Ovis aries: one gene and its partners. The protein of the gene in region 7 interacts with the protein of the main gene of each other region in a pairwise test. Links are inferred from orthologs where the notes say so. Each region holds a gene or a part of one and is shown on either strand. Other genes may lie near its edges.

Evidence for each region.
Region 1: the proteins of GOLGA2 (region 7) and GPKOW interact in binary tests that used the Homo sapiens proteins (3 or more experiments, as listed by UniProt). The two-hybrid records come from large-scale screens. The link is inferred for Ovis aries from reciprocal best matches to the Homo sapiens genes GOLGA2 and GPKOW.
Region 2: the proteins of GOLGA2 (region 7) and ZGPAT interact in binary tests that used the Homo sapiens proteins (3 or more experiments, as listed by UniProt). The two-hybrid records come from large-scale screens. The link is inferred for Ovis aries from reciprocal best matches to the Homo sapiens genes GOLGA2 and ZGPAT.
Region 3: the proteins of GOLGA2 (region 7) and UBE2U interact in binary tests that used the Homo sapiens proteins (3 or more experiments, as listed by UniProt). The two-hybrid records come from large-scale screens. The link is inferred for Ovis aries from reciprocal best matches to the Homo sapiens genes GOLGA2 and UBE2U.
Region 4: the proteins of GOLGA2 (region 7) and MOS interact in binary tests that used the Homo sapiens proteins (3 or more experiments, as listed by UniProt). The two-hybrid records come from large-scale screens. The link is inferred for Ovis aries from reciprocal best matches to the Homo sapiens genes GOLGA2 and MOS.
Region 5: the proteins of GOLGA2 (region 7) and NCF2 interact in binary tests that used the Homo sapiens proteins (3 or more experiments, as listed by UniProt). The two-hybrid records come from large-scale screens. The link is inferred for Ovis aries from reciprocal best matches to the Homo sapiens genes GOLGA2 and NCF2.
Region 6: the proteins of GOLGA2 (region 7) and ZMAT2 interact in binary tests that used the Homo sapiens proteins (3 or more experiments, as listed by UniProt). The two-hybrid records come from large-scale screens. The link is inferred for Ovis aries from reciprocal best matches to the Homo sapiens genes GOLGA2 and ZMAT2.

What each region holds. Positions count from the first base shown.
Region 1 is NC_056080.1:55,987,511-55,991,794, reverse strand, and holds the start of GPKOW (G-patch domain and KOW motifs-containing protein), read right to left. Parts: upstream 2,801-4,284; 5' UTR 2,648-2,800; intron 1,788-2,647; 5' UTR 1,641-1,787; intron 20-1,640; 5' UTR 1-19. UniProt on the Homo sapiens protein: RNA-binding protein involved in pre-mRNA splicing. As a component of the minor spliceosome, involved in the splicing of U12-type introns in pre-mRNAs.
Region 2 is NC_056066.1:53,744,868-53,749,012, forward strand, and holds the start of ZGPAT (zinc finger CCCH-type with G patch domain-containing protein), read right to left. Parts: upstream 2,801-4,145; coding exon 2,214-2,800; intron 1-2,213. Other genes in the region: ARFRP1 (ADP-ribosylation factor-related protein 1), read left to right, coding at 4,002-4,094. UniProt on the Homo sapiens protein: Transcription repressor that specifically binds the 5'-GGAG[GA]A[GA]A-3' consensus sequence. Represses transcription by recruiting the chromatin multiprotein complex NuRD to target promoters.
Region 3 is NC_056054.1:39,650,965-39,655,043, forward strand, and holds the start of UBE2U (ubiquitin-conjugating enzyme E2 U), read left to right. Parts: upstream 1-1,279; 5' UTR 1,280-1,717; coding exon 1,718-1,783; intron 1,784-3,093; coding exon 3,094-3,175; intron 3,176-3,536; exon of another isoform or gene 3,537-3,654; intron 3,655-4,079. UniProt on the Homo sapiens protein: Catalyzes the covalent attachment of ubiquitin to other proteins.
Region 4 is NC_056062.1:36,287,818-36,290,669, reverse strand, and holds MOS (proto-oncogene serine/threonine-protein kinase mos), read left to right. Parts: upstream 1-1,160; 5' UTR 1,161-1,227; coding exon 1,228-2,250; 3' UTR 2,251-2,352; downstream 2,353-2,852.
Region 5 is NC_056065.1:64,044,095-64,047,443, forward strand, and holds part of NCF2 (neutrophil cytosol factor 2), read right to left. Parts: intron 280-3,349; coding exon 102-279; intron 1-101. UniProt on the Homo sapiens protein: Subunit of the phagocyte NADPH oxidase complex that mediates the transfer of electrons from cytosolic NADPH to O2 to produce the superoxide anion (O2(-)).
Region 6 is NC_056058.1:49,485,854-49,489,819, forward strand, and holds the start of ZMAT2 (zinc finger matrin-type protein 2), read left to right. Parts: upstream 1-1,166; 5' UTR 1,167-1,180; coding exon 1,181-1,198; intron 1,199-1,531; coding exon 1,532-1,625; intron 1,626-2,565; coding exon 2,566-2,689; intron 2,690-3,888; coding exon 3,889-3,962; intron 3,963-3,966. UniProt on the Homo sapiens protein: Involved in pre-mRNA splicing as a component of the spliceosome.
Region 7 is NC_056056.1:8,010,824-8,015,102, forward strand, and holds the start of GOLGA2 (golgin subfamily A member 2), read left to right. Parts: upstream 1-1,479; 5' UTR 1,480-1,503; coding exon 1,504-1,584; intron 1,585-3,121; coding exon 3,122-3,244; intron 3,245-4,207; coding exon 4,208-4,279. UniProt on the Homo sapiens protein: Peripheral membrane component of the cis-Golgi stack that acts as a membrane skeleton that maintains the structure of the Golgi apparatus, and as a vesicle thether that facilitates vesicle fusion to the Golgi membrane.

The DNA of each region.
Region 1 (4,284 bases), on a different chromosome or scaffold from region 7:
CCTTCTGGTATTCTAAGGGCTAAAGAATAAAAGAGACTAGTGTTAGTCCTGCAGTCCTATCTGACTCTTTGCAACCCCATGGACTGTAGCTGGCCAGGCTCCTCGGTCCGGGATTTTCCAGGCAAGAATACTGCAGTGGATAGCCATTCCCTTCTCCAGGGGATCTTCCTGGAATCAAACCCAGGTCTCCCACATTGCTAAAGAAAATCTTTAATGATGGTCCTGTGAAACTGGATAGGGCTCTTCCCTATATAAACATTCTAGCCGCTTCTCTTTGAATTCACATCCGGGTTTCACCATTCTTACTATGTAAGCCGAGACCCTAGTAATCATCCAGGCTCCACCTACCCGAATAACCATCCTGATCCCACCTTCTTAGCTAACAACCCTGGCAACAAATATTCAAGCAATCCTCCAAATTTCCTACATCCCTCAAATAAAACATAGATTTTGCCCCTCATTTTAAACCCTTAGGCCCACCCTACGCCGTGCTTCTCCAGGATTCCAGGTCCTGCTCTCTAATTAGCCGGGTTTTAGTCACTAAGTCTGCCTGGAAAATCCCATGGACGGAGGAGGCTGGTGGGCTGCAGTCTGTGGGGTCGCTAAGAGTCGAACACGACTGAGCGACTTCACTTTCAATTTTCACTTTCATGCATTGGAGAAGGAAATGGCAACCCACTCCATTGTTCTTGCCTGGAGAATCCCAGGGACGGGGGAGCCTGGTGGGCTGCCGTCAATGGGATCGCACAGAGTCGGACACGACTGAAGCGACTTAGCAGCAGCAGCAGTCATTAAATCGTGTCCGATTCATACACTATAGCTACCCCATGCGCTATATAGCCCGCCAGACTTCCTCTGTCCATGGGATTTGGCAAGAATACTAGGTGGGTTGCCATTTCCTACTCTGGGAGATCATCCCACCCAGGAATCAAACCCGGGTCTCCTGAATTGAATTACAGGCAGATTCTTTACCCACTGAGCTACGAGGGAAGACCAGTTAGCCTATAAAACCTCAACCTATTATTCCTGACAGTTCCAGCCACACTCCCAGTGCGTTTATAGACTCCGCCCCCTTGACTAACATTCCAGGCCTGCCCCTCAGCCAGTGCCCGACCCCAACCCTCTCCAGGCACGGCCTCCTCAGAAATACCACTTGAAACTCCGCTGACGAAAATAAATATCAAGCTCCGCACCCACAGCTACTCTTGCAGCGTTCAACTACTCCAATAACCCTCTCTATGTCACCTCCTAGAGGAATATTCTAGGCTAAAACCAGGACCCTCCAATCACAGCCAAGCGCGGGCCTCCATATTCACACTCATTGGTCCCACCAAGAGAAGTGAAGTTGCTCACTCGTGTACGATTCTTTGCGATCCCATGGACTGTAGCCTACCAGGCCCCTCCGACCGTGGAACTTTCCATGAAAGAGTACTGGAGTGGGTTAGCCATTTGCTTCTCCAGGGAATCTTCCTGACCCGGGATCGAACCTGGGCCTCCCGCATTGCAGGTAGACGCTTTACCCTCTGAGGCACCAGGGAAGCCCTCACACCAAGGTGGGTAACTAACAATCCTGGGCCCGCCTCCTCAGAACCACCCTCCACTCCGACCACGCCCCCGGAAGGCCACGCTCCGTCACTGACCCTCTTTGGGGCGCAGGCGCACGGTGGTGCCGGCCCTGCGTACCAGCGCCGCCACGTCGGCCGCAGCTCGGGCCGCCAGGGGGCGAGCTTCCAGCCGCGCCAGGAACTGTCTGGCGCGGGGGCCCTCGGGCTGGGGACCGCCACCGCCTGCGCGAGTGAAAAGAACAGATCAGGGCCCACCCTGAGTCTCAGCGAACCCTCACGGCCCCCTACGATCAAAGACCTAGAATTCCCCTCAAGATCCCCGAGACCACTCCTTTTCAGAGTCCCGAAGGTCACCGACTGTGCCTTTCACCTCCCTGGACCCCCGACTATCACGGGAATGCCCGTGGACCCCCGCCTGCTCCCGCGATATCCCTGGCGAGCTATTTAACTCCAGCACTCCTGGACACCTCCGAACACCCTGTGAATATCTCTGGAGGTTTCTGACGGGCCCCCCCCGACACAACCCCAGATTCCAAACTCTTCCCCCCAATATCCAGAAGGACTGCGATTCTCCCAGATGTCCCAACAGAACACGGTCTGCTCCCTGTGGCCCAGGCACTCCCGATGCCCCTCTAGATGTCCTAGGTAACCCTGCTGGTCCATGTAGCCCCAGATGGCCCCTCCACCTATCCCCAGAGGCTCCAGCCTAACCTCCCACAATCCAACAGACACACACCCCCCCCCCGATTCTAACAGCCCCCCCCCCCCCCCGCCCAGTGCCCAGGTGTCCCCAGTGATCCTGGGCAGAACCCTCCAGCACATCTCCCCGGAGACTCCTGGGAGTCCCGGGGTCTGGTGCGCCGCCCCGCGGCGCAGGTGTGGATGGGGGTGCGGCTCCTCGAGCCCAGCTGGGGTCGCTGGGCCGCTGCCCTCCACCGCCGCCGCCGCCGCCGCCGCCGCCGCGGCTCGGGCGCCAGGGCGGCTTTGTTTACCACCTGTCAGAAGGAGAAGGTGAGGAGCAGACAGGAAGTGTGAGGGCTGGCAGGGACGTGCCCACTACCCTCCCACCCCGAGCCCGGTACCTCCTTTGCTTCCCCTAGGGTCCGTGCCGCCCCCCGGGCGCCGCTCCATGACCTGTACTTGGCCTGGTGGACGCACGGCCGCCCGCAAACGCGTTGGGAGCGCTCGGGAGCGCTCACCTGGTGGCCAGCTCGGGCCTGGACGTGGCTGAAGCCGGCCGGTCCCGTGCTCAGCGCCCCAACCAGCGCGGTGACCTACCTGGCAGCCGCCAAGGAGTCCTGGCCCTGGGAGCCAGCGCGCACTCTTGGCCTCGCCCTGCCTCAGCCGCTGCCTCTCTTTCCCATCACCAAGGGAAAACTCTTTCCACCTCGGGGATGTTGTTATTCCAGTGTCAGAGGGGAAAGTCGAGGCCCAGAGAAGTTAAAGGCCCCACCTGAGCTCTCACAACTAAAAATGGGGTGCAAAACCGGAACCCAAGTTTACCGAGGTGTACTGCAGCCTCCAACAGAGCTTTCCACATCTTACGTGGAAAGTCGCTCAGTCGTGTCTGACTCTTTGTGACCCCATGGACTGTAGCCTGTCAGGCTCCTCTGTCCATGGGTTCTTCAGGCAAGAATACTGGAATGGGTTGCCATGGCCTCCTCCAGGGGATCTTCCCCACCCAGGAATCGAACCCGTGTCTCCTGAGACTCCTACATTGGCAGGCGGATTCTTGACCACTGAGCCACCTGGGAAGTCCCTTCCACATCGTAGACAGTCAGTCAATCTGCACTGAATGTTTCCCTGCTGGGGAACTGGAAGAGTATGGTGGCCTGAGGAGTGGGGGCACCCTGAGAGTCGTTGGGAACCCTGGGAGGTATCAGGGCCCTGAGCATGATAGGGTTGGTGGACCCCCAAAGTAGGGAAGGGCAGGTCTCCTGGAGAGTGGAGGGGCAGTAGGAGCCTGGACTTGAGGAAGCTTTGAAGGCATAGGGTGTGTGTTGGGGGCGGGGACACTAGCCAATGAGAGGGGAGTAATGAGGCTCCCCCTAGGTTTGAAATGGGGTGAGAGTGTCTGGAGACAAAGCCCCCAAGATGGAAGCCCATGGGCAGAGTGCCACTCTAGTGACAGGAGGAATGGGGAGGGGTGAGAGAAGGCCTGTGGCCACCACTTTGTGGAGGAAAAAACAGACAAAAGATGTGAACACAAACTTTACCAAAGAACATATACAGATGGCAAATAAGCATGTGAACCTCGCTTAATATGATTAGTCTTTAGGTAATACAAGTTAAAATCATGGCAAAATGCCACTACACACATATTAGCATGGCCAAAGTTAATTAAACGTCTGACCATACCAACTGTATGTGAATTTGTCCAGGAAATGGGACTCTCATATACTGCTTCCAGGTTCAATACTTGTTCAGGGAACTAAGATGCCCCGTGAGGCAAGAAAAAAAATCGAACGCCCCTCTTAGTTGTAGACATTCCTGAAAATAATCCTTTTGCCCCTTTTAGCATCACTTGGTTCACGGATGTAGGTCAGTCCCTCTAACAACCCCACCCAATTCTGATTAATTTAAGCAAATCTTTCTTTTCTTTAGGAGATTGCAGGTTAATTGACATAAAATTTGATAGGTTTTGAACCTGTGACAAAACCAGTTTCATTTGCTTAACATGCAGCAAGTCAAAGGATGAGACACCAAGATCTGCAGCAGA
Region 2 (4,145 bases), on a different chromosome or scaffold from region 7:
TGTTTGGGCTGAGGCACAGAGGACCCCAGAGTAACCGGCAGCTTTGTAGTTTTCAGCTGAGTACTTGAGTGTTACAGTGATCCCTTGTGCTGTCTTTACTTTCTGGATTTGACCTTTCTCACAACAAGATAAAAATTTTAAGTCCACTGTGTCCTTATTCCATGTTAGGTACTGTTTTTTTATGCATATTAATGCATTCCAGCCTCTCAACAACTGCAAAAGACATGCTCCTCTCCTTTTTATGGAAAAGGATACTGAAACACAGAGCGATAAAGTTAGAACAACGTATGAAAAAATATGCAATCTTCCTAATAATCGAGGAAATACAAGTTCAATCAAGACCACCTCTTCACTTCAGTAGGTACGAATCCCCAAGTTAGAGAACGTGACCAAGAGTGACTAGGGTGACCACGACAGAGCAGACCAGGGGCTTAGAAGCAGACAGCGCGCAAGGAAAGAAAATGCTCATGCCATCCACACTGGGGACATTCCCAACAGAGACAAAAGATGTGTACTAGGATTTTCAGTGTGTTCTTTTTAGTAAATAAAAACTGGTAAACACCAGGAGACAAAATAAACTGTGGCATATGAATGAGGAAAAATAATAGTAGTTAAAATGCACAAAACAGTCCTATAAATATCTATGTAAACTTCTCTCCCAGACACGCTCAGTGAGAAGAGCAAGTTGCAAAACAAAGCAGGCTGTACAACATAGTTTAATTAGAAAATAAAGCACAAGAATATTCTGTTCACAGACACACGTGCCTGTAAAGGATTCACACGCTAGAGAGATGCTCATCATAGTTGTGGCAAGCCTCCCAGGAGGGGAGGATAGAAAGCAGGTCCCAGGGTGCTTCAACACTACTTTATCTTTACAATAAAATTTTAAATAAGTAAATTTTTAAACTAAAAATCCAAAGTAAAAGCAACAAAATAACTGTTACACCTGGGTGGTGGTGGGGTGGGTGGGCTGCATGGGTCAGGCCTGAAGCTGACAGCAGGCAGCAGCATTTCAGAGCCGGACTGCCCCTCGGGGGTCCAGCAACCACAGCAGCTGTAGGGCCTACCTGGCAGGCTTGCTGCCAGGTGAGTGAATACACGTGAAACCCCTGGAACAGTGCTGCCCAGAGGAAGCAGCACATGAATACGTCAGTTCTCATCCCCACATGGACGTGGCACAGGGACGGGGAGGAACCCTCCAGAGGGACCATGGCAGGAAGGATGGAGGGCTCCCTGCTCTGATCCTTAACTCTCTGCTGGGGGACAAGGCAGCACCCACCCTGTGGAAGCTCAAGGAGGCTTATGACTGATTCATGCACTTTCCTGTATGTACACTACACTTTTCACAAAACTCATGAGGAAAAAGGAAAAAAAGGGGAACCGCACCAAATAAGACTCTGGGCCCAGCAAAAATCTGTAAAGAAATAAGATAACCAAACAACTGAAGATATTGAATAGTTACCCTGGACTACTGATTAAAGAAGAAAATCATCTACTAGAAATCTCAGGAAATATTCCTTGGAAAGGAAAAAGAAGCAAAATTAAACATAATGTACATAAGGAAAACACAACATCATTACATTCGTGATTAAATACGAACAAGGTCTTGCTGTTAAGTTGGTGAGGTGTGAGAGTGACACGGAGGTAATTTTTAACTTAACATCCTTGTCACTTAGGTTAAGCCGGCATCCTGAAGTACTTACAGGCAAAATGCCCAGTAAGTCCTACAACCTGCTTTAAAATACTCCAGGGGCAGGAACAGAGAATACAAGAGCAGCAAAACATTGACCTACCATGACATGTGAGCAGTCTCTATGCTACTCTCCCTAGTTACCTGGGTGTTTGACCACTTCTCTAATAAAATATCTAAAATATAAGTAAATTTTAGAAGTTTCACTTTGAAGCATAGGACAGGTCACGGAAAGGCGGCGGGGGGGGGGGGGGGGGAGGGCTCCATTCTTTTCAACATAAACCCTTCTGTACTCCTGACATACCTGGGGAAAAGTCAAGAAGACCCCCTAATGAAGGATACTGCTAGAAGAACCCCCTGCCTCTATAAAGTTCTCTTCTTCTCAGCATTTTGCTCGGCCAAGAAAAACAAAACTGCAAAGAACTGCAAAGGTTCTGTCCGCAAGTCCCCGCGGCCCTCTCCCCCCCCCCCCCCCCCCCCCCCCCCCGCCCCCTGCTAGTGGCCTAGAGAACTCAAGCCTTACCTGCAGTTTTCCTGGAAGCGGCACTTCCCCTCCAGGAAGAACGGGCAGGGCTTCAGGGACTTGTGAGTGGGGTAGAGATAGAGTACGCGCACGCCCGGGGAGCCGTCGTCCGCCTCCTCGGTGCCCACTACCATGGCGTTGTGATACTCCAGGGTGCCCCAGGCACTGTAGTAGGGGGCGTTCACCTTTCTTCCACTCAGTGCTGCCCCGCCCTCCTCGTCCTCCCCGTCGTCCTCCTCCTGCCCAGGCTCCGTGGGTCCTGGCCCAGTCTCTCTCGAAGGAACAGTCTCCAGTTCTGCCCCGGGGGCTACTGGCACCTCCGCCGTCTCCACGATGGCATTTTGGAAAGCCAAAGGCTCAGCATCCTCCTGGACTGGGCGCTCTCCATCCAGCGCCGCCAGCAGCTTGCTCTTCCTGATAGACACCAGGCTGGCCTCAGTGAGCTCGATCAGCTCCTTCAGGTCTCCCTGCAGCTGGCGCAGGTCGGCCAGTTCCGAGGGATCCAGGCCAGCGCCCAGGGCCAGCTCCACCTGCTGCAGCTGCGCGTCGTAGGTCCGGAGGGCGGTCTGCAGGCTCTCCTCGTCCATCCTGGCGGGAGGGGCCGATTTCCCGCGCCTGCGGGGCTGGGTCCCTGGGTCCTCAGAGGGGAGGCGTGGGAGCCAGAGCTGCGGAGAAGAGAAGCCAGATGAGTCTGGGACAGACGGCCCCCACAACGCCGACACTGAGCGTTGGCCGACTGCAACCCTCGGTGGTCAGCCTGCGGAACCGTGAACAGCAGTCTCTTCGTTTGGACGTGGAGATATTTCAAGCTCCGAGAGGAGGAGCCAAAGCTGGCCCTTGGCCACTAGCCCCACGGCCTCGATTCCCTTCCCGGGAGCTGCCTTCAAGCTCTTCCGGGGTCTATGCGTCCAAGTCTTGTGTCCCCCGCCGGGCCCACCTCTGCGGCCTCGCGCCGCCCGTCTCCGCTCGGCCAGCAACCTCGGGCCAAGGCCCCGTTGCCCAGACCCCCTCGCCCCGGCCAGGCCCTCCTCCGAGCGGTTTCCCGGCCGCCGCCACAGACGGCCAGCCGGCCTCACCGGCCAAAGCCGTCCGGCGCCCCACTTCCGCCCTTGCAGCCCACAGGCGCTTCCGCCCGAGCACCGCCGCCGGCGGAAGTGTCTGGCGCGGGGGCTGCCGGGAAGGCTCCGCCCCCTCCTCGGCCGACCGGCGCCTGTCCCGTCAGGCGCCGCGCGGGTTTAGCGCCGGGTCGGTGGGTCAGGCGCAAGGCGGTTCCCCTGCTCTGCGGCTCGGCGGTCCGGCCGGACGGTCGCAGGTACATCGAGGCGGGTGGGTGGAGCTGGGCCCAGGCTCGGCGACCGGTCCGCAGTCTGTCCGCGCCGCCCGCCCGCCTCACGACTGCTCTGGGCAGTCACCAGCCCTCAGACGCCCCGCCTCTGAGAGGCGTTCGCGGCGGGCCGCGAGCGAAGGGGGCGTTGGTTAAGGAGACCCGAGGGGAGCAAAGCCTGAAGGGAGCCCGGGCGGGGGAGCAGCGAGAAGCGGGGCGGGGCAGGCTGCCCTCTGCCTGCGAACAGAGCGCCCTGGCCGGGCCGGAGAGGGCGTGTGGGCACCTGGAGCGCCGGGGCGATTCTGTAGCAGTTGCGGAGGCGAAGGCGGGCGGAGGGGAAGGGAGGGGAGGCAGAGCCAGGAGGGCCCTGGGCTCCAGCTGTGAGCGGCCGTGCGGGCAGCGGGACCCTCTGTCCACGGTGCGGGCCGTCTCGTCCGTGACCGATCTCGGGTGCCCAGGGCAGGATGTACACGCTGCTGTCGGGCCTATACAAGTACATGTTCCAGAAGGACGAGTACTGCGTCCTGATCCTGGGTCTGGACAACGCCGGGAAGACGGTGAGTGTGGCTCCGTGTCAGCGCCATCCCCCACCCCCACAGTCCTTTCGG
Region 3 (4,079 bases), on a different chromosome or scaffold from region 7:
TATTGAATACTGGAGCCAAAAAGGTAGTCACTTCATGTGAACTGTTGCGCAGCACATGAGAAGTGTGAAATAAATATCTGTGAAATGAATGAACTAATTAAACTGATGTCCTGTTTTCCACAAAATCAGTAAACAGTAAGAAAAAGTACTCTGAGAAAAGATGCCAGCTTCTGTAGTTGACATGGGCAAATTAGCACCTTTAAGAGGCTCACAGCTGGCTAAAGAAAGCAATGGGCAATTGTGATACAGCCTGATAAATGCTATGCCTGTCTGCTAAATTCTCTCCAGTCTTGTCCAACTCTGTGACGCTATGGACTGTAGCCCAACAGGCTCCTCTGTCCACGGGATTTTCCAGGCAAGAATACTCCAGTGGATTTCCGTGCCCTCCTGCAGGGGATCTGAACCCAACAATCAAACCCATGTCTCCTGCAGCCCCTGCATTGCAAGTGGATTTTTTTTTTAAATCGTTGAGCCACGGAGGAAGCCCAATAAATGCTAACAGGGAGGTAAATATAGGGTCCTCTAGGATCACAAGAAAGGAGTTGTCTTGTATGATTTCATAAAGAATCGTAGGCAAAGGTAAATCTGAACGTGGTAAATATCTAGACAGAAGGAACAGAAAGTGGCACAACTCAGCAAGAGATGAGAATTTTTAAGTAGTTCATGTTGCATAACATTCTTCCAGAGTAACTGAAGAATTTGATGACATAATAATATATGCGAAGATATCATGACCGCTGAAGTGCCATATGAAAGTCGCAGAGTCGTGTCCAACTCTTTGTGACCCCATGGACTATACAGTCTATTGAATTCTCCAGGCCAGAATACTGGAGTAGGTAGTCTCTCCCTTCTCCAGGGTATCTTCCCAACCCAGGGATCAAACCCAGGTCTCCCTAACTGCAGGCGAATTCTTTACCAGCTGAGCCACAAGTGCCATATGTTATTATAAACAAGAGCAGACCAGCATAATATTCAAAGAAAAAGAAAAGATGATTTCGGAGGACTTCTAGTGAAGTCTTCTCTGACTTAGACTTAAACGCTAGACCCTCTGACTTTTCCCCCTACCCCAACAAAATGGATGGATTTAGTAGTCTCACGGGGCGCTGGGACAGAGGAGGCCTTAACAACGGTTCTCATTGGCCTTTCAAACTGAGCCTTTTGGACAATTGGCTGTGAAGGTTTCCAGAGGCCACCCCACAACGCTGATTGGATGAGGAGTGGCCAAGTGCCCACCTCCTCTACAGTGCCGTTTAGTCTTGTTGCTTGGCAACCGATTTGCGTCTTCTTGCCCAACCGGCACCCAGTTAATTACACCTGTGAAGCGGAGACGGTGACTGGTTAAGAACACCCTGAACTTACGCTTCTTACGCCCACTTCACGCATAAGCAGCACGAGTGGTCTCAGGGTTTCATCCACATTTATCTTCAGGCTGGGCTGTGGGCTGGCGCGGCAAGGACACACGGCAGTGGAGAAAGTGCTCAAGTCTTCCTTCTGAAGTCCTCCTTTAGAAGAGTCAGAGGAGAAAAGAAAGTCGCTGCTACGTGCCCAACTTAGGTCCACCTCTCTTGGGAGTATATATACAGCATTCTGAAGCTGGAGAAAGCAAGTATTTATGTCAGTTAACTAGGTATAGGAGAGTGACCCATAACCTCAGACACTTGCCTCAGAGCGAACCGTAGTAGTGAGGGGACAGGATCAGAGGATTTTTTGCCTTATCATGTACAGCAGAGCTTACATCTTGCTAAAAAGAGAATTCCAAGAGTTGAAGAACAACAATTATGAGGTGAGTATTGGAGACGTGGAGGTTGTGTTTCATTGGGGTACGAGTTTTTAAAAGCAGTTTAATCTGTGTTTATTCCACAAAGCATAATTGAGTTAAATCTAATTTGCACTACAGACTTGTTTAATGAACCTATTTCAGTATAATAATCTGTTTCATAATAATTATTAGTATTTCATAATAGTAGTTAACAGTATTGAGCACACTGTGCTGAGTAATTTATGGACTTTAATCCCTGAATGTAACAGTCTATCAGGTAGTAAATAACCATTAGTTATTTAGTTAGTGAATGCAGGGTTGCATTCACTAATTATCAATTGTGCCTGCATGTTCAGTGGCTAAGTTGTGTCCGACTCTTTGCAACCCCATGCACTGCAGCCCACCAGGCTTCTCTGTCCATGAGATTTTTCCAGGCAAGAATACTGGAAAGGGTTGCCATTTCCTTCTCCAGGGGGTCTTTCCCACCCAGGGATGAAACCGAGGTCTGCTGCGTTGGCAAGTGGATTCTTTACTCGATACCACCTGGGAATCCCCTCAATTATCAATACAATATTGTAAAGTAGGTAGTGTTTTGTTTTACCTACCACAAACCTAAGCCTCAGAAAGCTTTCAGTAAATATTTGGGCTCGGGATTCCATCACAGGGTTTTTTGACTCCAAAATCCCTTGCTCTTAAGTCTTGAGTTCTTTTTCTTCCTGTCTAGTGCACTTTTTGCCAATTGCTGTGACATATAACACATAAGTGTCTTTCCCTTATAATTTCATTTTAAAATTTTTATTTATTATTATTTTTGGTTTGTGCTAGGTCTTCATTGTTTTGCACAGTAATACTTTCTTTTCCCTCCATTGGAATAATGCCTCAAGTGTAGGAAAATTTTATTTTTACATATGAGCATAATTTTAGAGTTGTGTTTTTCTTAATGAAAATTTACTTCATGCCTAGTATAGCATCTGTAGGGTTTTTTTTAAAGCTATGAGGAAATACATGCTTTCCAACTATTCCTTTCTTTTTGAATTTGAATCTTAAATTGTCTATAGAATTACATAAGTCACATATTCCATTCTTGACCTTCCTGTCCCATTTGTGATTTTCATACTAATGATTTACTTAAAATTTACTATTGCATGTATTTTCTGGAATCTACCTTATCTTCTGTGTAATAAGACAGTATATAACGCCTTCTCAAGTCAAACATTTTTATCAATAAAAGAAAATTTAGAGCTTTTGGAATTCATTGTAACCTAATATCTGACTTCCCAAACTGCAATAAATATTTAATCTTTTTTTCTGCTTTAATTTTTCTTGATGTTTAGGGTATTACTGCCTTTCCTATAAGTGAAGATATGATGCAATGGGATGTTGACATTGAAGGTCTACAGAATACAATTTGGCATGGTTTGTGTTTGGGAAACCAATTTACTTTTTTATAAAAGCCTTTATATTATTAGCCTAATTTCTTTAAGGTTGCACTGTATAAATTTTCTAGAATTCCTAAAGTTTTCACATGTTAATTTTTTCATTGTATGGCTTAATTTTTTGCCATTTGTCAACATGGATGGATATTTTAGGTTTGAATATTTCTTTATGCCCAGTCTTAATGTTATCATGTTTTTAAGAAGCAGACATAGGAAAACATATCAACTGAGAATATCATCTAATAGTCTTCCATGAATTCAGAGAATAACCAACAAAATGCCTGATGGAAAAATCCCACAATTATGTCTCTTTTTTTTTTTTCTCTATGATTTTCCCACAGATGTCCATAAGTCAAGTTCTCAAGAAGACTAGGCAACCATAAACTTTAATGACCATGCCCTCTTAGAGTTGCAGATTAACAAGATATATTTGCTTAGTGAGATAGGGGAGAAAAGCATGTAAGTGGATAATTACAATAAAATATAACATGTCCTGTTATGAATTTTGAATGGAATACTTGGGAGGCAGTGATTAGTTAATTTTGCCTTGGAGAGTCAGGAACAGCTTCCCAAGGAAGTGACACTTGAGTTGGGTCCTGAAGAATGTCTGAGAATTCACCAGGTTTAGAATCAGAAGGCGGAGAAGGCAATGGCACCCCACTCCAGTACTCTTGGCTTGAAAATCCCATGGACGGAGGAGCCTGGTAGGCTGCAGTCCAGGGGATCACAAAGAGTCGGACACGACTGCACGACTTCACTTTCAGTTTTCAGTTTCATCCATTGGAGAAGGAAATGGCAACCCACTCCAGTGTTCTTGCCTGGAGATCCCAGGGACGGGGGAGCCTGGTGGGCTGCCGTCTCTGGGGTCACACAGAGTCAGACAT
Region 4 (2,852 bases), on a different chromosome or scaffold from region 7:
GTTTACACATCACCTATATGCTCTAAGTGCAAAAATAAAGTCAAGATAGAGCTTTACCATTTGACTTTTCAAAACATAGATCCTAACATCTTCCTGTGTTTTTTCATGAACAGGGTGTTATTGTTGGTTTTTTCCCCAAAGGTATGAAATGAAAACTGTCTTTTTTTAAAATAAAAATTAGAACAGAAGAACTCACGGCTGAACAGCAAGATCCTGGATTTAATCTCAACATCTGATTTTCCACAGTATATGGAGGAACAGTATATGACTGTGACTCTTTTTATTTCTTCAGATTTTTCCTCTCCTAAGATCTCTCGTATTTGTTATTATTTGACGCTCTGCTTGTAGCTCTGAATCATTTTCATTCTTTTTCCTCCTCTAACTCTGCTTCAAAACTTCTGTAACTTATTTGCTGTGAAGTCTAAAATCTCTTCTGCAAGTGAGCGTACTGGGTGCACCAGACAGCCATGGACCCCAAAGACTGCTAAGGATGCCATATGTTGCTAAGAAGTCTTGCTAATTTGCTCTATCAGCTGAATGGGGTGTCAGAGAATTTTCTTTTCCTTTATGAACTCAGAGTGTTTATGCTGTGACCTGTATCAGCAATTCTGCTTGGATCGATCACTTTCAGCTTACCATTTTTCATCCCTCCGTGAACGTTGCACCTAATTTTCCCTGTAATCGGTTCAACAACTGTCAGCTGTTCATGTTTCAACTCTTTCTGCCAATAACTGCTGGAAGTGATTTAATGCAGCTGGAGAATAAACTGACAATCATTATAGCCTGCAAAGTGTGAAAAAAATTTCATTGCACTATTGTGATCTGAGGACCGATGACGCCCAGCGGATGAGACTTGGAGTGGGGGTGGACGGGTAGGGGAGAAGCCTGCTTTATAATAATTAAAGAACTTGTGGAAGAGGGTGATTCCTGGGGCAAGTTAACTGTTTATCCGGTGAACCCTCTTCCAGGGCTTGTTTTATAAGAATTCACTGTAAGTGCCCAAGGGAAATACCTTCATCTGAATGGGGTTTCGGTGCTGCCTGCGCTCAGATGGTTTCCTCAGCTGATAAAAGTCCTCGCTAAGGAACCGCACAGATGTGGCTCCTTTGGGGAAGATGAAGGCAGAGGAGACAAACACGGGGGCGGAGCGGAGGGGCAGCAGCCAGTGATGCCTGCAGGCCGACGGGATCCCCTCTTCCAGGCCGGCTCACCTGCGCTGCAGAAGAGATGCCCTCGCCCCTCCCGCGGCGCCCTCACCTGCCCGGCGACCTCTCGCCGTCGTCGGGGGACTCGCGGCCCTGCAGCAGCCCCTGCGAGCTCTTGGGGGGCATCTTGCCGCGGGCCCCGCGCCTCCGGCGTCGGCTAGCCTGGTGCTCCATCGACTGGGAGCAGGTGCGTCTACTACGGAGGCTGGGCGCGGGGGGCTTCGGCTCAGTGTACGAGGCCACCTACCACGGTGTGCGAGTAGCCGTCAAGCAGGTGAGCGGGTGCTCCAAGAACTCGCGGGCGTCAAGGCGCAGCTTCTGGGCCGAGCTCAACGCGGCCCGGCTGCGCCATGTTAACATCGTGCGCGTGCTGGCGGCCAGCACGCGCCCGCCACCGGGTTTCGACAGCCTGGGGACCGTCATCATGGAGTTCGGGGGCAACATCACCTTGCACCAGGTCATCTACGGCCCCACCGGCTGCCCCGGGGACTCTGGCGCGCAGCTGGGCTTGGAGAGGTGTCTAAAGTACTCCCTAGACGTGGTCAGCGGCCTGCTGTTCCTCCACGGGCAAAGCATTGTGCACTTGGACCTCAAACCGGCCAACATCCTCATCAGTGAGCAGGATGTCTGCAAGATCGGGGACTTCGGCTGCTCCGTGAGGCTGGAAGACCTGCGGAGCCCGTGGACGCCTCACCACCTGGGCGGCACCTACACTCACCGAGCCCCGGAGCTCCTCAAAGGAGAGCCTGTTACACCCAAGGCCGACATCTACTCCTTCGCCATCACCCTTTGGCAGATGAGCACGCGGGAGGCGCCCTTCTCGGGGGAGCGGCAGCACGTGCTCTATGCCGTGGTGGCCTACCACCTCCGGCCCGCTCTCCGGGCACCCGTCTTCACCGACTCGGTCCCCAGGAAGACGTTGGCGGGCATCGTCCAGCGTTGCTGGGCGGCCCTTGCTCCCGAGAGGCCGAGCGCAGAACTTCTCTTGGGGGACCTCCACGCTTTGAAAGAGGAGCTGGGAGGACTCGAGACTGGATCCAAATAAGCGTCTTTGTTTCTGATCGTTTTTAACGAAGTGAAGATTTAGCGGGGGAAAAAATCATATAGGTAGGATGGATTTTTAGAAAATAAAGTCCCTTAAAAACTCCCTTTATCTCGAATGCTTTTTCTAAGACAAACCGCAGAGCGGTCGTGGTGCTCTTTGTCGTTATTTAGTCGCTAAGTCTTGTCCGACTCTTTTGCTACCTCATGGACTACAGCCGGCCAGGCTCCTCTGTCCATGGGCTTCTCCAGGCAAGAATAGGAGAGCAAGTTGCCATGCCCTCCTTCAGGCAGTAACAGGTATTCCTGAATAAACTGTAAAAAAAAAAAAAAAAAAAAAATAGTTGTCTGCAACCCCAACAAAGAGGACAGCAGCTCATTACTCTTGTTGTTTTCATTAAAATGGCTATTGTTTGTATTTGTTGTTGTTGTTGAGTCCCTAACTAGTGTCTGACTCTTTGCTGACCCCATGGACTGTAGGCCACCAGGCTCCCCTATCCATGGGATTTCCCAGGCAAGAATACTGGAGTGGGTAGTCATTTCCTCCTCCAGGGGATCTTCCTGATCTTCTGGACCCAGGGATGGAATCAGGGTCTCCTGCATTGG
Region 5 (3,349 bases), on a different chromosome or scaffold from region 7:
TGGCTAAAGTTTGTAGCTGATTGATGTTTTCTTCTCTCTTCCCTTATATTTATTGCTGCTAACATGTACATTAGTTTCTGCACTCTGGGAGTAGCACTTACCTGTTGATATCACCAGGATTACGTCCCCTTCCAGGAACTCCAGGTCTTCTGGCTGGGTAGCCTCGTAATTGAAGAGAGCTACCACTTTGCTCCCTTCCTTAAGCTCAGGTTCTGTTGTCTGGTTATTAGCATCAGATTTTTTGCTTTCTTCAGGTTCATCTGGAAATCCCTGGTCACCCTGAAATAGTAAAGGGCCTATTTATTAGTTTTCCTAACTTCCTGCCATGAACATTTGAACATCACTGAAGGAATCAATCAGCAAAATGTCAATGTAACACCTGGGATATAAACTCAAAGCCAAGTTTGTGATCAGTGCCAGGCATAGACCTGGTGTGTACTTTATGAACACTGGATGGTTGGGTGAAAGTGAAGTCACTCAGTCATGTCCAACTCTTTGCGACCCCATGGACACTAGGCGGCTCTGTCCATGGGATTTTCTAGGCAAGAGTACTGGAGTGGGTTGCCTTTTGGGTAAGTGGAACCAAAAGGTCGACAGGACTGTAGATCATCTTAAAATCCTACTGAAACCTTATGTTAATCCCGAAAAGGGTAGGTACAATTGTTAATTTTTCTCAGATGGAGAAACAGGTTGAATCACAAGTAAGTGAAAGAACCCAAAGTCAACTCCCAAATCAACACCTTTTCCCCAGCACCCATAACACTGGACACCTTGTTATAGAAAGGCAAACTTGTCTGCGCTATCCCAAATCTATTAATCAAGAACTCCCTGTGGGAGTTAACAATCATTAACAAAACAAAAAAAAAATTTTAAAACAAAATCAACATTTGCAGTGAAGTAATGCTGAAGCTGAAGCTCCAATACTTGGGCCACCTGATGTGAACAGCTGACTCACTGGGAAAGACCCTGATACTGGGAAAGATTGAAGGCAACAGGAGAAGGGGGCAGCAGAGGATGAGATAGATAGCAGCGCCAATTCAATGGACATGAATCTGAGCAAAATCCAGGAGATGGGAAAGGACAGGGAAGCCTGGCATGCTGCAGTCCATGGGGTCACAGAGTCGAACATGACTGAACAACAAATTCACATTTAGAGCCGAACTAATAGGAATCCTTTCAAGACAGAACTGAAGGGATTAGTCCAAAAACAGATTATTGGAAAAGCTAGAGTGACCTTTCACACTTTGAGGGGACACCTTGCAGGGACACTCACTTGCCCCTGGGTCCTGGGCCTTCCAGCCAGGCCAGCGCAGCCGCTCAGCTGTGGCCGACTCTGCAATCCCATGGGCCGCACATGCCAGGCCTTCCTGGCCATCACCAACCCCGGAGTCTACCCAAACCCACGTCCATCGAGTTGGTGATGCCATCCAGCCATCCCATCCTCCGTTGTCCCCTTCTCCTGCCTGCAATCTTTCCCAGCATCAAGGTCTTTTCAAATGAGTCAGCTCTCCACATCAGGTGGCCAAAATACTGGAGTTTCAGCTTCAACATCAGTCCCTCCAATGAACACCCAGCACTGATCTCTTCTAGGATGGACTAGTTGGATCTCCTTGCAGTCCAAGGGACTCTGAAGAGTCTTCAACACCACAGTTCAAAAGTATCAATTCTTCTGTGCTCAGCTTTCTTTATAGTCCAACTCTCACATCCATACACGACCACTGGAAAAACCATAGCCTTGACTAGATGGACCTTTGTTGGTGCCAGAGGCACCCGGAAGTCTCAGGTCCAGGGGCTCCACTTGCTGAAACAATTTTCTGAACTCGAACCCCTAAGTTTACTTTGTGGGGTTTACTACAGGGTCTTCCTCCAGACCTATCCTCTTTAGTTCTTCCCCATCAAACATTTGTCTTTGATTTGAGTGCAGAGGAGACCCCTAACTGAGCAGTAACCCCTAGCCAGCTGTGGGGATGAGGGTTTGGAGGAAGGACTCGCTGGGCCCATGCCTACATATCTGGAATAGCTTTCCTGCCGTGGTCATTTCTATGGTCTCAAAAGTCCACTTGTGGCTGAAAACTAGTAGCTGACCAAGGATTCCCTTAGGAGCTATTCAGTTTTATACCCCCAGGCAGATAAAACTGCAGATGCCACTGTTGACAAAGGCTAAAGCAGGAAACAGGTGAGAAGAGGAACTGAAGTGCCAACGGGACCCCACTTGACAGCTTTGGGCGGTGGGGACTGCAGGTTCATGGTCTCTGTGTCAGGACTCCCCAGCCGCCCGATTGTGGGTTGGGAGCTGTTTACTCAGGGGAAGCCCACCAGCTGCTGGGAGCCAGCACGGGAGATCCCACCCATGACAAGGTCATGCGGAGAGACCTGACGGGCAAGGCGGATCAGGACTCGAGGGATCCCCTGGAACTGCTCGAGCATCTACCCCAAAAACCAGAGTCTATCTGTCTTACTATTTTATGACTTTCACCAACTCCTCTGACATTAACAGGGGGCTATCCCTGACCACCTTTCTCTGAAGAAAATCAATGTAGAGCTTTGGTTAATAAGTCTCCTGGGCATAATAAGAGTGTTTCAATTCAAACCCCTCTGATAGCTTTCTAACTTGCCTGACAGGTTTATCTGGACTTTTTCAACTACGCATGTGATTGTTTACGGCTTCCCAACTGTGAGAGGCACAGGAAGCTTAAAACATTCTAGGAATGTAGAGCCTTTCGAGGAGTTAAAAATCATTAGAATAGAACTGATTAAGGGTTTCATTGTTGAGCCAATACTTGCTGCCGAGTTTTCGTATCTTTTATTTATTGATATAGTTGGTATATAGAGAAAACAGGTAGTAGCCCTGGCATTAGCAACATTAGATCTTTGAGTTAAGTACTTTCTTTGTTGTAACCCACTGTACCTTTGTTCTGTAGGAATGTAACTTTATTTAGTACTTTGAGGGTGATGCAGATTAAAGAAAAAACACTTCAAGGGAAAATGAGTTTTCTGGTTGATTAACATTTATCAAGGAAAAGAGCCATAAAATATTAACAGGTCTCCTGTCCAGAAGATAATGTAAATCACCTGAGACCTTTTGTATACAGAAAGGTATGCAGAAAGAAAGCCTGGTATCAATAAGGGCCGGGACTGCTGCCCCTGCATGACTCTGCATCTTCCATTATGTAACACTTAGGGTATATAAGCTCCTTTTGAAAATAAAGTTACGGGTCTTGCACAAGCTTGGCTGCCCCATGTTGTACTTTCTTTCTCTCTTTATCTCTTTTTCAGGCTAGTTCCTTGGAGCACAGAGGCTCTCTGCATTCACTTTCCTGCCTGGGCTTCTAAGACCCACGTGAGAGGG
Region 6 (3,966 bases), on a different chromosome or scaffold from region 7:
ATTGCACTGCCCATATTGATGTGACATCTCTCTAGCCCATCCACTGTTAATAATAACAGGGTGAGCCTGTTTGTTTAATAATCTTGAATGTTGAACTTAATAGGTGACCTGACAAGATGGAGATATGTTTTTGGGGCCCATTACCTGTGCCGGAATCACTTCTCTGACTTCTGTGTCCTGCCATGGAGGTAGCTGTTCTTGAAGTGGTTGTATAATATATTAAATAAAATTTTAATGGAGTAGTTTGAGTAATTGTTATCAAGGGGTTGGTTTGCGTAGGCCATGGAAAACCCTAGAGTGTACACGGGAGGATTCTGTGAACTAGGAGTTATCTCCCTGGGGTGATGTTTCTGTATTGAGTGAAGGAAGTGACCACAGTTCCCTCTTCCCCCAACTTAGAGATAAAGTCACACCACTGAATCAGTGTATAGTGAGACATCTGCTAGAGTTCTTCACGGGAGTGTTGTTGATACCCAACTTCCCAAGTCCGATCATGTTGTTTAAACTGTGCCCTATGGAGTTGGTGATGGAGAGGGAAGCCTGGCGTGCTGTGATTCATGGGGTCGCAAAGAGTCGGACACGACTGAGCGACTGAACTGAACTGAAACTGATGGATTGAATGACCCTAATGTACTCAGCTGGAGGAAAAATGAGTGAACCAAAGGGTGGTAGCATTGCTTCAAGATAAAGAGACAAACTGTAAAAAGCGATTTGTATTTGTGTGTTGGGAAGGCTGCAATCTTTTCAGGAAAGTGCTCTGAGCCCGTATTTTTAGTGCTTGCGGTGAATCACTAAAGTGAAGCATTTGAGACCGTATAACAGCGCTTCAGCCTTAAATGTTTGGAAACTCCTGGAATGCACGCAAGTTTATTAGACTAGATCAGAGAGCACTGATCTGAATCTTATTTTCCTCTTGTTAAGATGAGTTGAATCTGCCTGTTTTGAAAGCCAGGACGAAAACGTTTGCAGGCGCCCTTACTTCCGTGTTGCTTCATACTTCCCTTACGCATGCGCCATTTCCTTGGCGCGGAGGCGGGGCTGACAATCCTGTTTTCGAAGCCCTCCAGTTCTTCGCTCGTTTAGAACACGAGACTCTAAGCTGATTGGAGGCAAGCTTGCTTTACGGCTCAAGGCCGCTTTTTACGGCATTTTCCGGCTTCCCATTCACTTCGCAGTGAAGATGGCGTCAGGCAGTGGGGTAGGTGTTGTGTGTGAGGAGGCTTGGAGTCGCGGGTAGAGGGTGGCTTCTCGGCGTTGAATATTCCACACCCAACTGGCTTCCCGACGCCTCTTCGCAACATAATGGCTCCAGTTCAAGAGCTCCCCAGTGAGGCTCTCGCGCAGGGTCTGTGGAATCGGGGAGGGCTCGGGTTGGGGTCCTGAGGTAACCTTAGCCTCCTGGTGGTGTCCGGAGAGGCTTCACTCTCTTCAGGTCCTGGGCCGCCTTGGCAGCGTGGACGCGGTTTCTTCAGTTTTTCCAGGAGTTGGACACGATTAGCGGCGAATCTTAAGCGCATTTTTCTTCCCCCAGACAAAAAACTTGGACTTTCGCCGAAAGTGGGACAAAGATGAATATGAGAAGCTCGCCGAGAAGAGGCTCACGGAAGAGAGAGAAAAGAAGGATGGTGGGTACTTGCTTAGTTAAGTGCTAACTGTGTTGTAGAGGCGATGCAGTGGTTGGAGAGTGAGTGGGTGGGGAGTTGAAATGCGCTGTCCTCCATACTTCTGTAATATCTGGCAGAGTATTCCCTCCCTAGTTCTCGATTTCTTCAGATATAAGGTGAAAGCGAGATGGATTGAAGTGCTTTTGAGGTGCTTTCCAGCTCTGTGATTTTCGGGTTCCTTGCTCTGCCTTTGCTTGGCTCATTTAGTACTTTCCTCCGGTACGGAGAAGAGATTGGAATCCTTAGTAGCGACAGGAGGAGGAGTATTTCGCTGCTGTGTGTTAACTACTATTGAAGAGCCTCTTTTTCTCTCAGCAGGAAACATGGTATTATTTAACCTAGCGTCTAGGACTGTTCTCTGTGCGATAGACAGTGTCAGGGAGTTGGTGCTCCTCTTCTAGAGATTCCACTATGTAGAAAAAAATATCTTCCTTTCTCATCTGTTTTCAAACCATACATTCTTCTGCCTTCTTCCACACCAGGTTACACACTCTAAACCTTTTAGTTTTTATGTAACTTGTATAATAGTGCTTGGCATGCAACAGATTATTTCCCAAATATTGGTCTCCCTTTTAAGAGTAGTCTTGCTGTTCTTTTAAAAGGTTGCTTTTTGTGCAGATTCACAACTCTTGCCTTCAGTTAATTAATGCATTTAAAAAATTGCTTTTAGATTCTTTGGCTTTAAAGTGGAGAAAAGATGTAGAGAGTTAAGAATTGCTTGTCATTTTTTTGTGTTGAGCTTCTCCTTAGCTGCTGCTACAAGTGACTGTTGTGTCCTTTGCTTCATGTTTCACAAAAGAAATGAAAGTAGACCTCTGGATTTTGGACTTTATGCATTTCTTTTCCTTTCTGGTTAAGGAACTCTAATAATGAAGGGACTTCCTTCCCCATTATATTTCAGGAAAACCAGTGCAGCCAGTTAAGCGAGAGCTTCTCCGGCATAGGGACTACAAGGTGGACCTGGAATCCAAACTCGGAAAGACAATTGTCATTACCAAGACTACCCCACAGTCTGAGATGGGAGGGTGAGTGGCTTTTCATCTTTCTCTGCAGCCAGGAAATGTTACGCTCAGTACCTGCCCCCAGAATAACAACCTTGTTTCCTGTAATTCCATCCATTTCCCTCCAGGGTCTCTAGTTAACATGTCTGTAAGAGGGGGTTACTCTGTAGGCTTCTTCATATTAGCACTATATCTACTTCTTAATATTTTAAAAGGGATTATTTGTTCTCCTTCCAAAGGAAGAAATGAAGGAAAGGACTACTCAGGAGATTTCTAGGGGAGAAATTAGGTGCAACTAAAATGGAGCCCAGAAAATGTTGACCATGAATAAAGGGAGTTGAGGTTCAAGACTGGCTACAGAAGTTGTAGTTATGTATTTTCTGGTTGTGCACCTTCCTCCTAGACCCTTACTTTTAGGAAGAAAGGTCTCACAAGAACTCTTCATCTTTTTGCCTAACACTACTACTCTGTCTAGGTGTGTTTTCCAGCAGGAGCATAACACAGATAACAATAAGTGACACTTCTCTGAGCTGCTTCTCTGAGTAAACTCACTGTTAACTTTCCTCTTTGTGTTAGTTATCTATTGCTATTTGTGTTAATACATTAACCCAGTATTAGCAGCATAAAACAAAGAATAGCTCACAATATCTCACATGGGTAAGTAATATGGAAAAGGCTTATCTAAGTAGTTCTGGCTCAGGGTCTCTCACAAAGCTGACATCAGGGTGTCTGCTGGGTCTGCATTCATCCGAGGTGTAAGTGGGGCTGGAGGATCTTTGTCCAAACTGTGTCACGTGACTGTGATTTGGAGGCCTCAGTTCTGTGCTGTATGGGCCACTCCATAGTGCTGCTCACAACAAAGCAAGTGGCTTCCCCAGAGTAGGTGATCTACATGAACAGACTAAGCAGAATGCATGTTTTTTTAAAAAAACCTAATCTTGGAAGTGACGTAGCATTACTTTTGATATAATTTATTGATCATATGGACTAACCCTGGTACAAATTGGGAAGGGCCTATATAGGGTAGGAATATAGGTGGCATCAATGTGGGGGCCATCTTGGAGGCTGGAAGCCACACTCTTCTAAGAGCAAAGGCTTTGTGGAAATGAGAAGTGTCTCCTCTAAAAAGAATTTTTACCTAAATATTATCAGTTTCTTGGCTGAAAACGATAAAATCTTTATAAGCAAATTTGAAGCTAGTGTTGTTTCTTTTTGTTTTCTAGGTACTACTGCAATGTCTGTGACTGTGTGGTGAAAGACTCCATTAACTTCTTGGATCACATTAATGGAAAGAAACGTAA
Region 7 (4,279 bases):
CCTGGCACATAGAAAGTACTATTTCGAATGAATTCACCAAGTGAATGAATGAAGGAAAAACAACCAATTCACTACCTAGCAGTCTGGAAACTGTTTTGAAGTTGAAGTACAGTGCGCTAAGGGGGCACCTAACAGAGCAAGTGGCCCGAGCCTGAAGTGGAGCTGAGACTCCTCCGAGGAAGCTCAACTTTAAAGGCTGAGGAGGCATCAGTTTGGCAAAAAGCTGGAAAAAAGTATTCCACACAAGGGACAGCATATGCAAGTGCTGTAGGGCAGGAGAGAGCACCTGTGTTTGAGGGAATGAGAGTGGTTTCCACGTGGGTGGAATGGGTGAGGGAAGGAGGGTGGTGTGAAAAGAACAAAACCAGCCAACCACTTGTGGCGATGTCACGGAGGAGGAGAGACAGAGCCCCTTTGTAGGGTCTGGGGTAACCCTGACAAAGGACAGGAACGCTGTTTCTTCTCTGAAGCCTGGCGGGCAGGAGGAAAAGATGACGGGGAAGGACTGAGAAATGACCTGGAGTTTCTCTGTGGAATCAGGTCAGCTGGGGGGAAGACCCCGAGGAGGGCTGGGGGGTGGGTCAGCCGCTGTTAGGGAAGGAGGGAAGGGCTGGGAGCAGCATGCAGGGGGGAGGGCAGGGAGGGGGCACAGGCTACATACTCACAGGGGATCGGAAGGCCCCGCCGCAACTTTTGGAAAGTCCTGGTTGAATCCTGCAGAGGAAGCCGAGGGAAGAAGTCTGATTGGACCTAGAGGCCGCCTGGGGAGGAAAGGGGTACTGTGGGGGTGTGGAGAGGAGGAACAGCTGTGAACCCAGACTGGATCCGGTTGGGAAGGGGACAGAGAATGGTTCTGGGATCAGGGTAGGGATTCTCGAAAAAGGGGAGTTTCTGACAGGGAGGAGTGTTGGAGTGGATGGGGGGGCGCGGGGTGCGTCTATGGAAGTGATCTCTGAGGAGAGAAAGTCTCAGGCAGAGCTACAGGGGTGTCACGAAAAGGGACTGGGAAGAGATGTGCTTTCCCCCTGCTATCAGCTCCTTGCCCACCTCCTCAGCCCTGGCGTCCGGGGCCCCCGACTCGGGGGGCGCTGCAGAGAAGGAGGGTCCAGAGCGAGGACGGAAACGAGTCTCCTCAGGTCCGCCAGGTACTTGGAATCCTGTGACGGAGACTAGAAACGTCACAAAGCGTAGCTACGCACGCACTCCGCGAGAGCCGGCTCAGTCCTCTCCGCCGAGGTGGGCAGGACAGGCCGCTTATTCTGCGGCTGCGCTTTCAGTGTTTTTTTTTGTGACTCCACCCTCTCTTTCGGGCGAAGCGGCGGCTTTAGCCGTGCGTCTCCGCCCCGTATCTTTCCCACTACCCAATGGGGTTAGAGAACTGAGGCCACTCCAACACACCGCGGCCTCCTAGTACCGCCCCGGAGCCGCCCTCTCTGGGCTGAGTGGCACCGCGGCGCGGAGGCTGCCGGAAGCGATTCCGCAGAGGTTGACGGGATCGTGCTGATGTGGCCCCCCCTTCCCCCGCCCCGTCCCGGGATGTCGGAAGAAACCCGACAGAGCAAATTGGCTGCGGCCAAGAAAAAGGTAAAAACGTGCGGGCTCGCGGCTCCCTGACCCCTCCGAAGGCCGGGCCATGGCCAGAGTTTCTGTGCTGCCTCCAAGGCAACGGGGTGAGCCCCTCGGCGCCCCTTGGCGCCCCCCCCCCCCCGCCGCCAACAAAGTCTTCGCAGCCAGTCCCGCCCCCCGCTACCCCTCCGCCCCCCGGCTGCCCAGTCTCCGCCGCCTTCACTCGGCACCCCCAGGTGACTTTGGGCCGGTGACCCCCGGGGCTTCCCACACCAGGCTTGGCCTTCGTCTCCTGTCGCCCGGAACCGCACCTCCGCAGCTCCCTGGTCTCCCTAACTCCCGGACTCCGAAAACCTCGGTCCTGGCCTTTGCATTCCCCCCCGCCCCCCATCAACCGCCCCCCGCCCCCCGACTCAACGCGGAGCGGCTACTCGGGCGTTGCTAGGGATCAGTGCCGTGTGGCTACGTCATAATGCCCCTTGGAACTGTCATTAGTGCCTAGGAAACTCGGTGTTAAATTTTACCACCCAGTTCCCACTGTGTTTTCACATCCTTTCCCGTCTCTCTGGGTCCCGGCACCAGCTTGAAAAAGGAGACTCGGGGGGATATGGGACCTAGATCGGACCTGGGTTTCAGGCTCCTTCACCTCTAGACTTGTACCCCCATCGTTTGATGTAAAAAGCCTACACTTCCCCCAGTGATCTCCAAACATTGACAGTATTTCTGGGTGGCCATGGGGAGAAGGTGTTTGGTTTAGTTTGGTTTTCTCCCAGGTCTCTATCCAGAGAGACTTTCACATTTTTAATCGGAAGTTTCTACTTCACATTCTAATTTTCCATGATTCTGAGACTAGTGGGCCCGTCACTCAGCATTCAGTGCTCCTCTGAGGAGCACATCCAGGGAAACTGAACTTCACAACGGGGAATCTTTCACAAATCATCACCTCAACGTGGGGCAGCCCAAGTGCCACAGGATAAATATGGGACTGATGGATCAGTTTTGCTTGATTTTCTTGAGAGAGAAAAAACCTTTTATACTAATATACGTAGGGATGACATTTGCGTAGATTTGTATGATTATAATGGACTTCTCTCTGAAATGTGTTTGGGTTGTCCTCTTTCGGTTATGTTTCCAGAATCACTAGGGGTGTGTGTCTTCTCTACCTTCTGCCATCAGGATACATTGATGTAAAATTTTGAGAAGTACTGGTGTGCAGCTCTAATAGAGATGGAAGAAGGGACCCTGATGTCTGATCAAATGATTACATTTCCTCTGCTGCTGCTGATTTTGCCCCCTAGCAGCTGCTGATTGATGTTGTAATCCCAGAACTCAGAGTCAGAAGGCTGAGTTTAAATTCCGTTGTTGCCTTTCATTGCCACCTTTTGCTCCTAGCCACATTATCAGTCCATTTCAAGTCATTGAGGACGACAGCCCTTGTAGGGTTGTTGTGGCATTAAATTAGAAGGCAAAGAGTATTTTGTAAACTTTGTAAAGTAGGATGTGGATCCAGGGGGCGTATAGTTCTCATGAGCCTCACTGCTTTTCCTTTTTACAGTTAAGGGAGTATCAGCAGAAGAACAGCCCTGGTGTTCCTGCAGGAGCTAAGAAAAAAAGAAAGATCAAGAATGGCAGTAGCCCTGAGACAACCACTTCTGGTGATTGTCCATCACCTGAGGATGTGAGTCTTGCCTGACCGCCTTCCGGGGATGAGGCACTCAAGGGGCAACAATAGAGGGTAGTGGTTAAGATTGTGGAAGAAATGTCAGATATTGGCTAAGAAGTTTGGGTTTGAATTCTCCCTTTCTCTCTGCAAGGGATATGGTTTTAGGCAAATTGTTTAAGCTCGTTGGATCCCTGTTTCCACATTAGTAAAATTGGGGTAATACTGTCTTACACCAAGGAAGTTGAAATGAGATTGTCGTCGTTTTTATTATAATCCCCTAAAACAGGGCCTGGTGCAGAGTAGACTTTCAATAAAGAGTAGTTGCTAGTTGACTTAACTGCTCTGGTGATCTTCCCCAGCCTCATGGGGAAAGCCAGGCAGCTGCTTGCCCTCAGACTTTCCATTTAGAGGCCCCAGTAGAGCCCCAGAGTGTGGTGAGGAGAGGGCCTCAGGCAGTTGGATTAGGAGACCATCTGAGTTTTAAGACCATCTTTGCCACCAGCTTGCTGGGTGGCCCTGGGAAAATCACTTCCTCCCCTGGGCCTCAGTTTCCTCATCTGTAAAATGATACTGGTGGATCAGATTATTGCCTTTAAAGCTTATTTTTTAGCTGTAGCCCCTCTGCCGCCACTTCATTCAAGTGGACCCTGTTTCTGAAGTCTGGTTTTTAAAAGTCTAGGCCTGAGGGTCTAAGAAGCTATTAAGAGCTGCATTGTTCATCTGAGGAGCTATGTGACTGCATTGTTCAGGGGACTTCTCCATCTGTTTGTTTCCCTTGATTTCTGCCTTTGGCAAGGCAGCAAGTGGCTACTTGGAAAAATGACCCAGGCCTGTATTGATCCCTTCTGACTCCTTTCTCTCTTCTCCAGCATTCCGTTGCCCCAACCCGTGTCTTCTTCCTTCCTTGACTCTCTTGCCTCTCTAAGCCACTTTTCTCTTTTTCCCCTGCCCTTGTTTTTCCCTTTTCGCCTCCTGTAGATTCAGGACATTCTGGAGGTGCTGGTGTCCGACCTTAACCGCTCCAATGGGGTAGCGATCCCCCCATTGGAC